2 linked regions of the Stegostoma tigrinum genome follow. The protein of the gene in region 2 purifies or fractionates together with the protein of the main gene of each other region. This does not show direct contact. Links are inferred from orthologs where the notes say so. Each region holds a gene or a part of one and is shown on either strand. Other genes may lie near its edges.

Region 1 (7,558 bases), on a different chromosome or scaffold from region 2:
CATGTGGAATGTGCTGCCGGCTGTGGTAGTGGAGTCAGATACTTTAGGGACATTTAAGGGACTCTTGGATAGGCACATAGAGGATAGTAAAATGTAGGGTATGTAGGATAGATTGATCTTATTAGAATAATGGGCCTGCACAACATTGTGGACCGAAGGGACATTGTGGACTTTAGGGACATTTAAGGGACTCTTGGATAGGCACATAGAGGATAGTAAAATGTAGGGTATGTAGGATAGATTGATCTTATTAGAATAATGGGCCTGCACAACATTGTGGACCGAAGGGCCTGTACTGTAATGTACTGTTCTATGTTCTATGCGTGGATAGTGTTAACGCCTAGGATGGCAATTTTTAAGGCAAGAGGAGAGAGATTTTAAAAAAAGACCAGGCAATTTTTTTTCAAACAAAGACGGTGGTCCACGTGTGGAATGAACTTTCTGATGAAGTGTGCATGTGGGTACAATTACAACATTTAAAATGTTTGGATATGTACATGAATGGGAAAGTTTTGGACAGATATGGGCCAGGGAGCAGGCAGGTATGACTAGTTTAGTTTGGGATTATGTTCGGCATGGACGGTTGACGAAAGCATCTGTTTCCATGCTGTATGACGCTATGACTCTCTAAGTTTATATTTCTCCCAAGCATAATTACGAATTGCAATAACTTTCCCACAACCAATGTTAAACAGGTCTATAATTTTCTGGTTGCTCTCTCACCTCTTAAATTATGGAGTTCTTTTTTCAATTCTCAAACCTAAAAGAATTCCTGAATGAAGACAGATCAGGAAGATTATGGTTTAGCATCTGCAATTTTCATACTAACTTGCTTTGAATTTCTGGGTGGGAAACACCAACTAAAGGATCTGGCATTCTTTAGTGAGAATATTATTTCTAATCACATTTTTGATATCAGCTATCCAGATTCCAACCTAAACGCCAATATAAAAGTAATCCAACAGCAAGACCTAAGCTAAAGAACTCAAAACATTAAGCAAATTCATATCACCTAATTAAAGCCTGTTGTTCGCAACTGATCACTTACATAATTCTTGATTTGAGCAAGAAGCAACACCAATAAAAGATATTGGAATAGCAAGAAAAAAAGGATGAAAACATGAAAAAAAGATAGAAAATGCTGGAAACGTTAAGAGCAGGCAAAAGCTGCACCAGTGACCTCACCCCCGCCTCCCCTCCCCCCCATTTACACCTACAATAGATTCATCTTTATTTCCTTGACATCTCTTTTTACCTAGTACCACTAGTCTTTTCATCATTGAATTGTTTCTGTCTTCCATTTAGCCACAGGACATTCCTCTTGCACTTGGCAACCATCCTCCACTTCTACACTTGTTTAAAACCAAAAATGTCTGACTTTTTTCCCCAGAATTGACTTAATGCTTAAAGTCAATGGCATTCTCTTTCTCCCTCCAAAGTTGCTGCCAGGCCTGAGGAGTATTTCCAGCATTCTCTGTTATTATTTCACATTTGCAGCATCAGCAGTATTTTGCACTTTTATTACTTTAATTTGTTCTGATTAAAAAGGTACTAGTTACACACCAGTTTGGTTCAAACATTAAAAAGGTCCAACTTCGAGCCAAAGTGAATTTATTCATACCTCGTTGGTCAATGGATGAATATTTTATTCAGCACCATAACAATGCCAGGAATATATTAAACTATTGATTCAATGAAGCTCACCCCTAGAACACAAACACACACGTGCAACAATGCACTGAAAAAAAATCTTCTCACTGTTGCTTTAGAAGCAAAGATGTTCCACAAATTTACAAATATAATTAGCACGAAATTTTGAAACTACATGAGCCTCAAATTTAGAATCAAACAAGTTACTGGCATTCAGTGACTTGTATACAAAATTAATTTGTTGTTACAAGAGTGAAATGTCATCAGTATGAATACCAATAATACTCAATCTCTCCTCCAGGACAAAAGTTTTGCCTCCTCTCTTTATTGTGTGGTCATGCATGGAACGGATGAAAATTGAAATATTAAGGAAATGCACAGGCATCAGACACAAATGCAGTTACCATAGAACTAAATGAATTTCCATCAAGTACCAAACCAATCATCATCACTCCCTCATGGCTCAGTGGATAATTCCACTATGTGATGCAGCACAGGGCCAAGTGATAGTGGGAAGAGATAGAACATTAAATCAATGTTAACAAAATATACAGTACAATACAAATTAAAAACAGGAGCTGTTATGTTTGAGACAAAACGATCATCAAGTAATCATACCGAAGTGACATAACATGCACATCCAATCTGAATGGCTCACACATCTCAAAACTACATGAGAATGTCAATAGTTTACAAAGAAAACTCCTATCCACACCGAAGAAAGCAGACTTCATCTTAACAGTTGATTACAGTTGATGGCACTTTCTCAAAACAATTAACTTACACTGGATATTTTAAACCAAATTCGGTCAAGCCCAGATTAGACAAAATGCCAACAAAAAGGCCGTCATTTCTAAAAACGTATGTTAGGACCAAGCAATGGAATAAACATCACGGAGGATGCAATAGTGTATAAGCACAAATATCGAGTTTTTTTTAAAAATTATGCCATCATTCAATGAATAAAGCTTTTTTTCTGCCCAAGACCAAAGCGCCGTTAGCAGATCCCGAAACATCTAGAGCAGAGAAGCAGCATCAATTTACACAAGCCACACTCTGCACTACTCACTTTTTATGAGCCTTCTCTTTCTTTCCTTTCGGCCTCCTCTTTCGAGCTTGAATAGCCAGGACTGACAAGACAAGACGGAAAACAAGGAGGAAATTATATAAATATAATTTTAAATATACCTAGCACTTAACAACCAAAACAAAATATCCAGGCAATCGTGTAATGTAAGGAGGTTTGTTTCTATTTGTGATGTGTTCCTTTCTAAAAAGAAAAGTGCCTGACGTTTAAATAGACTAGTGGACAAACGCGTTAATTCCTATTTTTTTCCCCTCACCTTTCCTGGAACTCATTTTCCAGCAGGATTGTCCTCGCGGAGCCGCGCGCAGGCGCAACCGTCAACTTCCCAGCGCTCGAGCACAGGAAACTGGACGACCGGTACACAATTAACGTCACGTGCCTTAGATGGGAACTCGGAAGTTAAAGGGCCTATAATATATATTCAAACATCGAAGAAGCAAAAGGTATAATTACACCTCCCTCTGTTTGTGCATGCTTCGAACATAAATATTTCGGTTTCCTTACAAGACAACGTTCCTAACAACAAACGAAACGTAAAAATCTATCATTTAACCCTGAATGAGTAAATAAATTGTTTCACATTGAGATGTAAAGCAACACAGATATCCGTCGTTTGATGTATTGATAATCATGTTCATTTGCTTTACTACCTGTGTTTATTTTAAAAATATTGCGTTCATGCAATGTCAAAGATGTGGACTTGTGTGCAACCTTCTTTGACTGTTCTTCAACTTATTTTCCATTAATGTAAAATATTGTTTAACCAAATGTCTGGTATATTTGTACATCAATCAAAGCTGATTTACAAAGTTTCCTTCTGTGTTATCTTTTTAAAACTTCATTTGTATTAAGTAAGTACTGGAAGAATCATTTGGCAAACATTTTCTAATCTCTAACAGCAGAATTCTATATTTGAGTAATCTTTTACAGCTTCATGCTCCTCTGAGAAGTCTGCATTCTTCCATTCTGATCACTTGGGCATCTTTAATTTTAATCATACCTCTCCTGATGGCCTGCCTTTAGTTGCCAAGGCCCTGAACTTCAGAATACCCTCTATCTCCATCTATCTTTTCTCCTTTAGGAGATTTATTTGTGGCTCAGCATCATTTTACTTTGTAATACTATTGCCAACTTACTTTGAATGTTTTTATCATTTTAAAGGTGCTATGTTAATACAAGTTTTTGCTATATGCATATTACCACTGCAGGTCATAGGAACAGGGAGTAAGACTATAAGTTGTAGGAGCAGAAGTAGGACATTTGGCCTATTGACTCTGGTCTGCTATTCATTGAGAAAATGGTTAATCTCATATTTCTTGTCTCCACTTTCCTGCCATATCCTTACTGATTAAAAATCTGTACATGTCCGACTTGAATATACTTACTAATGCAGCTGCAACAGCCATATGTAGTAAAGAATTGTACAGATTCAGGTGAGCTAGCGCTAATGGGGAGTGTTTAAACTAACTTGGCAGAGCAGTACGATCCAGAGAGAAAGTCCAATGGGGAACCAAAATCAAAAGAGATAGCAAGGAAGTCAGGAATCCATAGAAATTATATGCTAGTTAAGGCACAAGGGAGCTTGGCAAAGTTGGATGATATTTATTTTAATGCAAAGAGTCTGACTTATAAGGCAGATGAGTTGATTGCATGAAGTAAAACAAGGGGGGATGATTTAATTGCTATCACTGAGACATGGTTGAGACAGGAGCAGAATTGACAGTTCAATACTGGAGAGTCTAGGGTCTTCAGACAAAACACAAGAAGATAAGAGGAGGGGGTGTTGCAATATTTTTGCATTAGGGAAATCTTGTGTCACGAACTTGATTGAGTTTTTTGAAGAAGTCACCAAGAAGATTGGTAAGGGCAGAGTGATAGACATTGTTTACTTGGACTTTTTACTTCGACATGGTTCTGCATGGTAAACTAATTAGTGAAGTTAGATAGCATGGGATTCATGATGAGCTTGCCAATTAGTTACAAAATTGGTTTAACAACAGGAGACACAGAATTGTGGCGGAGAGAGTTGATTGTTGTACTGGAGGCCTGTTACCAGCGGTGTTCAACAGGGATTGTTGCTGGGTCCGCTTTTGTTTGTCATTTATATGAATGATTTAGATGAGAATACAGAAGGTATGGTTAGTAAGTTTGCAGATGACATTAAAATTGGTGGTATAGTGGATAGTGAAGAAGGATACATCAGGTTACAAACAGATCGTGATCAATTGGGTCAATAGGCTGAGGAGTGGCTGATGGAGTTTAATTTGGATAAATGCAAGGTATTGCAGTTTGGTAAATAAACAAGTTCAGGACTTATACAATTAATAGATGGGCCTTGGGTATCACCCACCCAAGGGTGGAATTGATCCTAGGTCCCTGGCGCTGTGAGGCAGCAATGCTAACCACCGGGCCGCCCACATACTTTAACTGTTTTCTTCAACATGTCCAACCACCTTTCATGAGTTATGTACTTGTATACAGAAGTAGTGTAGAATGGAGACCTAGGAGTTCAGGTCCATAATTCTTTGAAGTTTGCGTCCAATATAGACAGAGTGGTTAAGGAGGGATTCATTATCTTCACTGCTCAGACTCTTGACTGTAGGAGTTAGCACGTCATGTTGAAGGTGTACAGGATGTCGGTGAGGCTTCTTCTGGAACACTGTGTCCTGTTAAAGGAAGGATATTATTATGCTAGAGAGGTTCAGGAAAGATTTACCAGGATGTTGCCAGGAATGGAAGGTTTGAGTTAAAAGGAGAGGCTGGATAGACTGGGACAGTTTTCGTTGAAGCGTAGGAGGTTGAGGAATGACCTTTTAGAGGTTTATAAAATCCCGACGGATATGAATAAGCTGAAAGGTTTCTCTCTAGAGTGGGGGGGTTTCAAGACTAGGAGGCATATTTTAAGGTGAGAAGGGAAAGATTTTAAAAAAGACATGAGGATCATTTTTTTTCAGCAGAGATTGGTTCATGTATGGAATGAACTTTGAGAGGAAGTGGTGGATGCGGTTCAATTAAAATGTTTAAAAGACATTTGGCTAAGGATATGAATCAAAATTCTTGGAGGGAGATAGGCAAAGGCAGGCAGGAGGAACTAGTTTACTTTGGAATTTTGCTTGGCATGCAGTGGTTGGAATGAAAGGTCTGTTTCCATGCTGTTTGACTGTATGATTCTGAGGGATTGGATAGAATGGTTTGTTTTCCTCGAAGAGGAGACAGTGTGCTATTAAATGAGATGTTTAAAATTATGAGGGGTATAGACAGGAGAATACTTTTCCCCTTGCTGGGGGAATCAATGACTGATTTAAAGCATAGATTTAAAATAAGGGACAGGATGCCTACAGGGAATGTGAGGAATTTTATTTCATCCAGAGGGTGATGGTAATCTGGAACTCACTGCTTGTAAAGGTGTTCGAGGAACAAACATTCATAACTTTGAAGATGTATTTCGATGTACACATATGATGTCAAGGCTTGTAAGACTATGGGCCAAATGCCGAAAAGTGACATTAGTGTAGTTAGGCAGTTGTTTTTGACCAATACAGACTCAGCCTTTATCTGAGCTGTTGACTTGTAACACTCTATGACACTAGCCACTGAGCAAATAAATGCTTCCTAATCTCTGTCCTAAATGGGCAATTTCTTGCTCAGAGATTATGCCCTCTGGACCTGGACAGAAAGGGAAACAATCTCTCCACTTTTTTTATTCATTTGTGGGATGTGGGCATTACTGACTGGCCAGTATTTATTGCTTGTTCCTAGTTGCCTTTTAGAAGATGGTGGTGAGGTGCCTCCTTGAACTACTGCAGAGCACCTGCTCTGGATTGAGGATTTTGACCCAGCGACAATGAAGGTACAGTGATATATTTCCAAGTCAGGATGGTGAGTGGCTTGGAGAAGAAATTGAAGGTAGTGGTGTTCCCATGTATCTGCTGCCCTTGTCCTTCTCCATGGAAGTATTCGTAGATTTGTAAGATGCTGTCTGAGGATCTTTAGTCAATTTCTGCTGTGCATCTTGTAGATAATACACACCTCTGCTCTGAGCAATGGTAGTAGAGCAAGTGGATGCTTGTGGATGTAGTGCCAATCAAACGGGCTGCTTTGTCCTGGACGATGTCAAGCATCTTGAACGGTGTTGGGGATGTACTCATCCAGGCAAGTGGAGAGTATTCCATCATATTCCTGACTTGTCTTGTAAATGGTGAACAGGCTTTGGGAAGTCAGGACATGAGTTACCCGTTGCAGTATTCCTGCAGCCTGGCATGTGTGTGGCGTGAATGTTACTTGCCACTTGTCAGCCCTAGCCTAGATATTGTCCACATCTTGTTGCATTTGAATGTGGAACGCTTCAGTACGTGAGGAGTCATGAATAGTTGTGAACATTGTGCAATCATAGGCGAACGTCCCCACTTCTGACTTTATGATGGTCCGGTCATTGATGAAGCAGCTGAAGATGGGTTCAGCCTAGGATACAAATGTGTGGAACTCCCGCAGAGATGTCCTGGAGCTGAGATGACTGACCCCCAACAATCATGACCATGTTTCTATGTGTCAGGTATGACTCCAATCACCAGAGATTGCTCCCTGATACCGATTGATTCCAGTTTTGCTAGGCCTCCTTAATGTCACACTTGGTTGAATCCAGCCTTAATATCAGGGCTGTCACTCTCACCTCACCGCTGGAATTCATTTATTTTGTCCATATTTGAACCAAGGCTGTTCTGAGTGGCCCATGCAGAACACAAACTGAGCATCACTGCACAGGTTATTGCTGAGCTGCTGCTGCTTAATAACACTGTTGATGACACCTTCCATCACTTTACT
Region 2 (7,501 bases):
CAATTTTTATTTATCGCCTGAGATAAAACACCAACCTGAGGCAGGAACCCCTTTGACATGTGAGATGCTGGGTAATTATTAGCAGTTCTATTTAAACCTAAATAACATGATGTGTAAAGAGCTCACTAAGATGGACCTCAGGAGATTGTTGATGGGGACATTACAGAATTATGTTTTATGGGTAATGAAAACATGGACAAAGATTTCCGTGTCAGTAACAGGTGAGACAATGATAGAAGACCAATATTGTAGCAATGGAATAAATAAAATCTGAAAATGTTGGAAAACAGAGCAGTTAAGAAAGGTGATGTGGCAGGTGTTGCATGACTGGCTGACCTTTTCCAACATTTTCTCTACTGTAAGGAACCGTATATTTTTCCCTTTTGCACTGTAAACTCAAATGGAAGTTGGACCACAATATAGCTGAAATATTAGAGTTTTGCAATTTAGAAAAATTAAGTGGTGTACATTTTTGACTGTGCAAGAGAATTTTGCAGTTGGAGCAATGAGTTTGATACATTATTCAATCTGTGTGGCACAAGGAATTTTTGAGGTAGGGAAAATCAGCCTGGTGACAGCCTTCATATTGTTCAAGTAAAATCAGAGTAGCCAGAGACCTCCAAGCCAACGAACTGAAAACATCTCTTTCCCCTTCTCGCAGTACAATTGGAAAGGAAATAAAACCAAGAAAACTTAAAAGAAAGAACTTTAGTATAAAAGACATGGGTCCACCAAATCAACCATCAAATGAACAATGAACATCGCTTTACAGACAGCAGTGTGTCAATGTTGCTGAACCAGAAAGCGGTGGCATGGTGGCTCAGTGGTTAGCACCACTGCCTCACAGCCCTACGATCCCGGGCGACTGTCTGTGTGGAGTTTGCACATTCTCCCCATGTCTGTGTGGATTTTTGCTGGGTGCTCTGGTTTTGTCCCACAGTCCAAAGATGTGCAAATTAGGTGGACTGGCCATGCTAAATTACCCATAGTGTTCAGGGATGTGTAGGTTAGGTGCATTAGCCACGGGAAATACAGGGTGACAGGAATAAGGTGGTTGGGTCTGGGTGGGATGCTCTTTCAAGGGTTGATGTAGACTGCAATTTTCTGCTTATTAAGGTGAAAGTGACGAGTGGTGTACTGCAGGGATCAGTGCTTCGACCCTACTATTCACAATAGCTGAGAAAACTAGGTGTCATATTTCTGATGAAGCGTCTAGGCCCGAAACATCAGCTTCTGTGCTCCTAAGATGCAGCTTGGCCTGCTGTGTTCATCCAGCTCCACACTTTGTTATCTCGGTGTCATATTTCCAGGTTTTCAGATGACACAAACCTGGGTAGGAGGCTATGTTGTGAGGGGGATGCAGAGAAGCTGCAGTGCAATTTGGAGTAAGTGTGCATGTGACAGATTGAGTATAATGTGGATAAATGTAAGGTAATAAAACTTTGGTAATAAAAATAGGAAGGAAGATTCTTATCTGAATGACAATAAATGGGGAAAGAGATGCAGCAATGAGACCTGGGTGTCCTTGTGCAAAGTCAAATGGTCTGCTGGCCTTCACAGCGAGAGGATTTGAGTACAAGAGCACTAATGTCTTGCTGCAACTGTACGGGGCATTGGTGAGACCACACCTGGAGTATTGTTTGGTTTTGGTCTGCTTATCTGAGGAAAGATGCTCTGGATGAGGAGGTAGTGCAAAGGGGGTTTAGCACACTGATTCTTGGGATGGACAGACTGATGAGTGGGGAGATACTGGATCAGTTGGAACTATATTCACAGGAGTTTAGAAGAACAAAGGGTATCTCCTAGAAACTTATAAAATGCTAACAGAATTAGACAGGGTATATACAGGAAGGGTGTTCTTGATGGCTGGGGAGTCTAGAACCAGGGTTCACAGTGTAAGAATAAGAGAAAGATCTTTTCAGACAGAGATTAGGGGAGGTTTCTTTCACCCAGAGTGGTGAGCCTGTGGAATTCTCTAGCACAAGAAAGCCTTGAGGCCAAAACATTGAAGACTTTCAACGAAAATCTGGATACAGTTCTTTGGACTGAAGGGATCAATGAATAGGGGGAAAAGGCAGGAACAGTGTACTGAGTGCCCTTGCACCAATTCGACCACAGCACTTTCTCCAAGGCAGTTAGAAGTAGGCCAGCATTTATTGCCAATTTATCATTGCAGAGGTAAAGATAAGCGAAGGTAAGGTCATCACAGTCTTGCTGGACCAACAGTACTGCTCTCTAATTGGACAGAGATGTTGGCATTCTGAATTTGGAATTTGGATTTGCACGTATTTGGAAAGGCAAGCACCGATTAGGGATAGTCAACATGGCTTTGTGCGTGGGAAATCATGTCTCACGAATTTGATTGAATTTTTTTGAGGAAGTGACCAAGCGTATTGATGAAGGCAAAATAGTGGACATTGTCTATATGGACGTCATTGAGGAGTTTAATAACGTTCCACATGGTAGTCTGGTTAACAAGGTTAGATCGCATAGGATACAGGACGAACTAGCCATGTGGAGACAAAATTGGTTCAAAGGTAGGAGACAGAGAGTGTGGTTGGAGGTTTGCTTTTCGGATTGGTTGCCGGTGACCAGAGGTGTGTTGTGTGGATCAGTGCTGAGTCCACTGTTATTTGTCATTTAAATAAATGATTTGGATGTGAATATAATGTGGATGTGAGATATGGTTAATACGTTTGCAGATGACCCCAAAATTTGTCAGGTAGTGGACAGTGAAGAAGGTTGCCTCAGTACCATGGGACCTTGATCAGATGGGCCGATGGGCTGAAGAGTTGCAGATAGAGTTTGATTTAGACAAATGTTAGGTGCTCCACTTTGCTAGGACAAATCAAGACAGGACTTGTACACAATGCTAACGTTCTGGAGTGTGTTGCCAAACAAAGAGACCTTGGAATGCAGGTTCATAGTTACTTGAAAGTGAAGTTGAAGGTAGACAGGGTAGTGAAGAAAGTGTTCGCTATGCCTGCTTTTATTGGTCAATACATTGAGTACAGGAGACAACAAGGTGCAGAGCTGGATGAACACAGCAGGCCAAGCAGCATCAGAGGGCTAGGGGTCTAAGCCCGAAACGTCAGCCTTCCTGGTCCTCTGATGCTGCTTGGCCTGCTGTGTTCATCCAGCTCTGCACCTTGTTGTGTTGGACTCTCCAGCATCTGCAGTTCCTACTATTATAGAGTACAGGAATTAGGAGGTCATGTTGCAGTTGTGGAGGACATTGGTCAGGCAATTTTTTGGAGTATTGTGTTTGGTTCTGGTCTCACTGTTAATAGAAAAATGTTACGAATCTTGAAAGAGTTCAGAAAAGATTTACAAAGACATTGCCAGGATTGGAGGGTTTGAACTACAGGGAGAGGCTGAACAGGCTGGGACTATTTACCCTGGACCGTCAGAGGCTGAGAAGTGACCTTATAGAGGTTGCTAAGATCATGAGGGGCATGGATAGGGTGAATAGACAAGGTCTTTTCCACCGGGTAGGGGAGTCTAAAACCAGAGGGCATAAGTTAAAGGGAAAAGTTTGAAAAGGAACTAAAGGGCAACGTTTTCAAGTAGAGGATGGTGTTTGAATGGAATTAGAGGACATACAATTAGAGGTACAATTACAACATGTAAGAGGCATCTGCATGGGTATAGGAATAGAAAGGGTCTAGAAGGAAATAGAAAGAACTGTAGATGCTAGAGTCAGAGCCAATACAGTGTAGAGCTGGAGGACTATCGCAGGTCAGGCAGCATCAGAGGAGCAGGAAAGTCCACGCTTCAGTACTGGACCCTTCATCAGGTGGAGAGGGACATGTGCTAGATTAAGATATCTGGTTGGCATGGATGAGTTGGACTGAAGGATCTGTTTCTGTGCTGTACACCTCAGTGACTAGCGGCGGTTTAACTCGATTTGTCACCATAGTAACCTCAGCCTCTCTTGGCATCACATAAATCAACCAACTGAGCTAACCGAATACCACCCCCTTCCTTAATACCGGCGTACAAGTATTATGAATGAATAAAAACAAGCATTTCTCTATTTCGAAAAAAAAACAATCTCATCTCATCTCCCTTTTTGTAAAGCAAGACTATACCTATTTTCACAAATTCCTTCTCACTGCCATGGTGATTGTCAGTGGACTATAAAACGCATGCGCATTTGATGGGCGGGGACGAACCGATGATTGACATGAACTCCAATCTAGTGCCGTCACCGCGATGGTTGGTTGGCGATTGGTTAGGCCGTTCGTCAATCACCGACAGTCGCGCAAATATAGCGGCGCTGTCACGAGCTGGCAAAGAGAAGGCGGGGATAATAGGAACCGCCAACGCCGGAGATTTCGAGATAACAAGGTGGAGAGCTGGATGAACGCAGCAGGCCAAGCAGCACTTTAGGGGCAGGAAAGCTGACGTTTCGGGCCTAGACCCTTCCCGAAACGTCAGCTTTCCTGCCCCTAAGATGCCCCTGGGCGTGATGTCTTCATCCAGCTCTACCCCTCCTTATCAAAGAGCAAGCGGGTTCGGATGGCTGCTGATCGAGGCAATAAACTAGTAATGCGAAGCCTGTGGCGCATGCGTGCCGGGGGTGGCACGGTCCGTTGATGATTGACAGTCCGGAGACCCACCCCCCCTCCTTTACGCTTCTGTCGATTGGCTGACCGAGATATCAATCTTCAAGGCTGTGCATGCGCTTTGACGAAGTTGGAGCTGCGGCTGGTACCGGAGGTTTTGGGTGCGGGGAGGGCCGTGAAATTATCTGACTTTTTTTTCGATGTGATGAGCTTTTACGGTAGGATTTTAATTTTGCACTAAGCTAGCATAAATTTTAGCCTTGACGGCACTATTTATTTAATCGTTAACCATTAAACCACGGTTAGTCTCCGAGGAGCGATTTTGCGAAGTCAATACTTTGTTTCTGTCGAAGTCTAGGCTAGGCCTCAGATCACGCCTGGGGGAGGGGGCTCCTTCTGGCTTCTCGCTTAACTTTTAATGTTAAATTAGACAGAGGGGTGGTTTATACTGGAACTCAGTATCTCTTTTTAAGTCGGTGCAGGGATTTGTTTATTTTTAACTGAATCCCCTGGTTAGATCCGGGTTCGTGTTGAATGAGTGGAGCTGAATGAGTCTGATCAAAGGCCTGTTGCTGTGTGACTTCCATCGAGTTTAACCATGTTTCACCAGACGTAACGCTACAGCGAAGATCACTGAAAGGCTCAGCATGTTTGGAATTTATGAAAAGATCGATTCTCTTTTTTGTTTAGAAAAAGCTGTTAGGGAGCTAATATTTCGGAGGAAGTAAAGGGATTTGAGTTATCATACAGTCACACAACATGGAAACAGACCCTTCGGTTCAACCATAATGGCCCTTGCTGACCATAACCCCAAACTAAACTAGTCCTACCTGCCTGCGCTTGGCCTAAATCCCTCCACACCTTTCCAATGCACGCACTTATCCACATATCTTTCAACAGTTGTAACTGTACCCGCATCTACCACTTTCTCTGGCAGTTCACTTCACACATGAATGGCACTTTTTTAAAAAGTTGTCCCTTATGTCCTTTTTCTTAAAACCTTTTTCCAAACCTTTTCCTCTTACCTAAAAAGTATGCCCCCTTGACTTGAAATTCCCTGCCCTAGGGCAAAGATACCTACTATTCACCTTACTTGTACCCCTCATGAATTTATAAACCTCTATAAGGTCATCCCTCAACCTCGCACACACCAGTGAAAAAAGTCTTAGCCTGTCCTTATAACTCAAATCCTCCAATCCCACAATCCCAGCAACATCCTGGTAAATCTTTACTGAACCCTTGCCAGTTTAATAATATCCTTCATATAAGAGTGACCAGACTGGACAAGATACTCCAGAAGAAGCCTCATCAACTACAATATGATGTCCTATCTCCTATACTCAAAGGTTTAAGCAATGAAGGAAAGTATGCTAAATGCCGCCTTAACCACCCATTCGATGCAAACTTCAAAGAATTACCTGAAATTCTAGATCTTTTTGTTCTGCAACACTACCCAAGGCCCTGCTTTTATCTGTATAAGTCTTGTCCTTGTTGTTTTACCAAAACGCAATACCTCGCACTTCTCCAAATTAAATTCCATCTGCCCATTGACCCAATTGGTCAAGATCTCTTTGTAATCTTAGATAACCTTCACTGTCTACTATATGACCAATTTTCTTTCACTAGAAATAACTTTACATCGATTTCTAATGCTTTTTTTTCCTTTGATATATTAGAATATGAACTATTAAGTCAAAGTGTTTAGATATTTTGGAATCATCTAGTTATTTTTAAAGTCTGGAATGGAATTGTCAGGCTGAAATTTGATTAATCTGCAGATTGGATTTTTTTGTGCTGTGCTGCTTAATTCATTGTATCAAATTTGAAAATTATGATTTTTATATGTATAATTATACTTTGCTAGTGTAGTAGTGGCTACATTTGAATAACTGTGCTTTGAGAGGCTTATGATAAATATAAAATTCTCCCCTCTGTCAAAATGATGTATGTGTTTAATGTGTTCTGACATTAAGCATTTTCTACATCTTGATAAGTGAAGACTTAGATTTTGGATAGTTTTTTTGCATTACTATAATGTATGTATTACTTAATTGCTGACTACTTGCTTGCTGTTTGATGAATGATTTTAAAAAGGATTTGGCCGGGTTACAAGTTGTTGATTTGGCTGATTATAATAGTCTGAGATACTTATTCAGGCAGACTTGATACAAAATGAAAGATTGCTTTTGGAATAGTTTATTTTGGCTTCACCAGGGGGAAACCAAATAAAACTGGAGAATAAAATGCCTCAGCAAAACATAACTCTTTATTTAGAAATAAGAACAACGTAATCAATCTTGATAATACTTTTTCCAGTACTTTCAGTACCTAGAAACTTCAGCTCTGAAATTTTATTTGCTGGGTACTTGTGTACAAATGCTTTCATGCATTAGTTTAAAATGTGTTTCTCCACTGCATCAGTAAAGTTGTTAGTCCATTTATTTAATACTTAAAGTAGACGAGAATGAATGAATGAGCAAAAACAGCTTGAACAGAGAACAGAATGGAAATTGAGTGCTATGCTAATGCAAGGCATTATTCTAACAGCTAGAGTTTCTCCAGTAGTTCACACACAATCTTTTTTGGTTCAGTTGTATTTATTGCATTTTATTGTTTCTCTGCAGGTGATCAGTAGAAGATGGTGTCAAGGACTCAAGATGATGAATTCTATCTAATCGCAGGCGTTGATTAAGCTGAATACATTGTGATTTCCAATAATTGAGACAGTGATTCTAAAAGCTGTCTACTTTAATGAAAAGAACAATGTAGTCAGCTTAACTGAATCATCTGTAAAATTTGCTTAGTACCATAACTTTTGAGAAAATTTACTCGGACTGGCATATGTTTCTTTCTTAGTTGGGTATTTGACTAAGATATAATTTGTTTAGGACTCTTTATAGCTTAGAATTAATAAGTTTCGAAAAATGGAGACG

What was found. Proteins that work in one complex are often made in the same cells at the same time.
Region 1: the proteins of dgcr8 (region 2) and srpk2 purify together in Homo sapiens (affinity purification with mass spectrometry; 3 studies listed by BioGRID and IntAct, with this or other methods). This does not show direct contact. The link is inferred for Stegostoma tigrinum from reciprocal best matches to the Homo sapiens genes DGCR8 and SRPK2.

The regions. Positions count from the first base shown.
Region 1 is NC_081378.1:22,540,368-22,547,925, reverse strand, and holds the start of srpk2 (SRSF protein kinase 2), read right to left. Parts: upstream 3,091-7,558; 5' UTR 3,010-3,090; coding exon 2,994-3,009; intron 2,781-2,993; coding exon 2,720-2,780; intron 1-2,719. UniProt on the Homo sapiens protein: Serine/arginine-rich protein-specific kinase which specifically phosphorylates its substrates at serine residues located in regions rich in arginine/serine dipeptides, known as RS domains and is involved in the phosphorylation of SR splicing factors and the regulation of splicing.
Region 2 is NC_081379.1:5,877,189-5,884,689, reverse strand, and holds the start of dgcr8 (microprocessor complex subunit DGCR8), read left to right. Parts: upstream 1-4,489; 5' UTR 4,490-4,786; intron 4,787-7,192; 5' UTR 7,193-7,492; coding exon 7,493-7,501.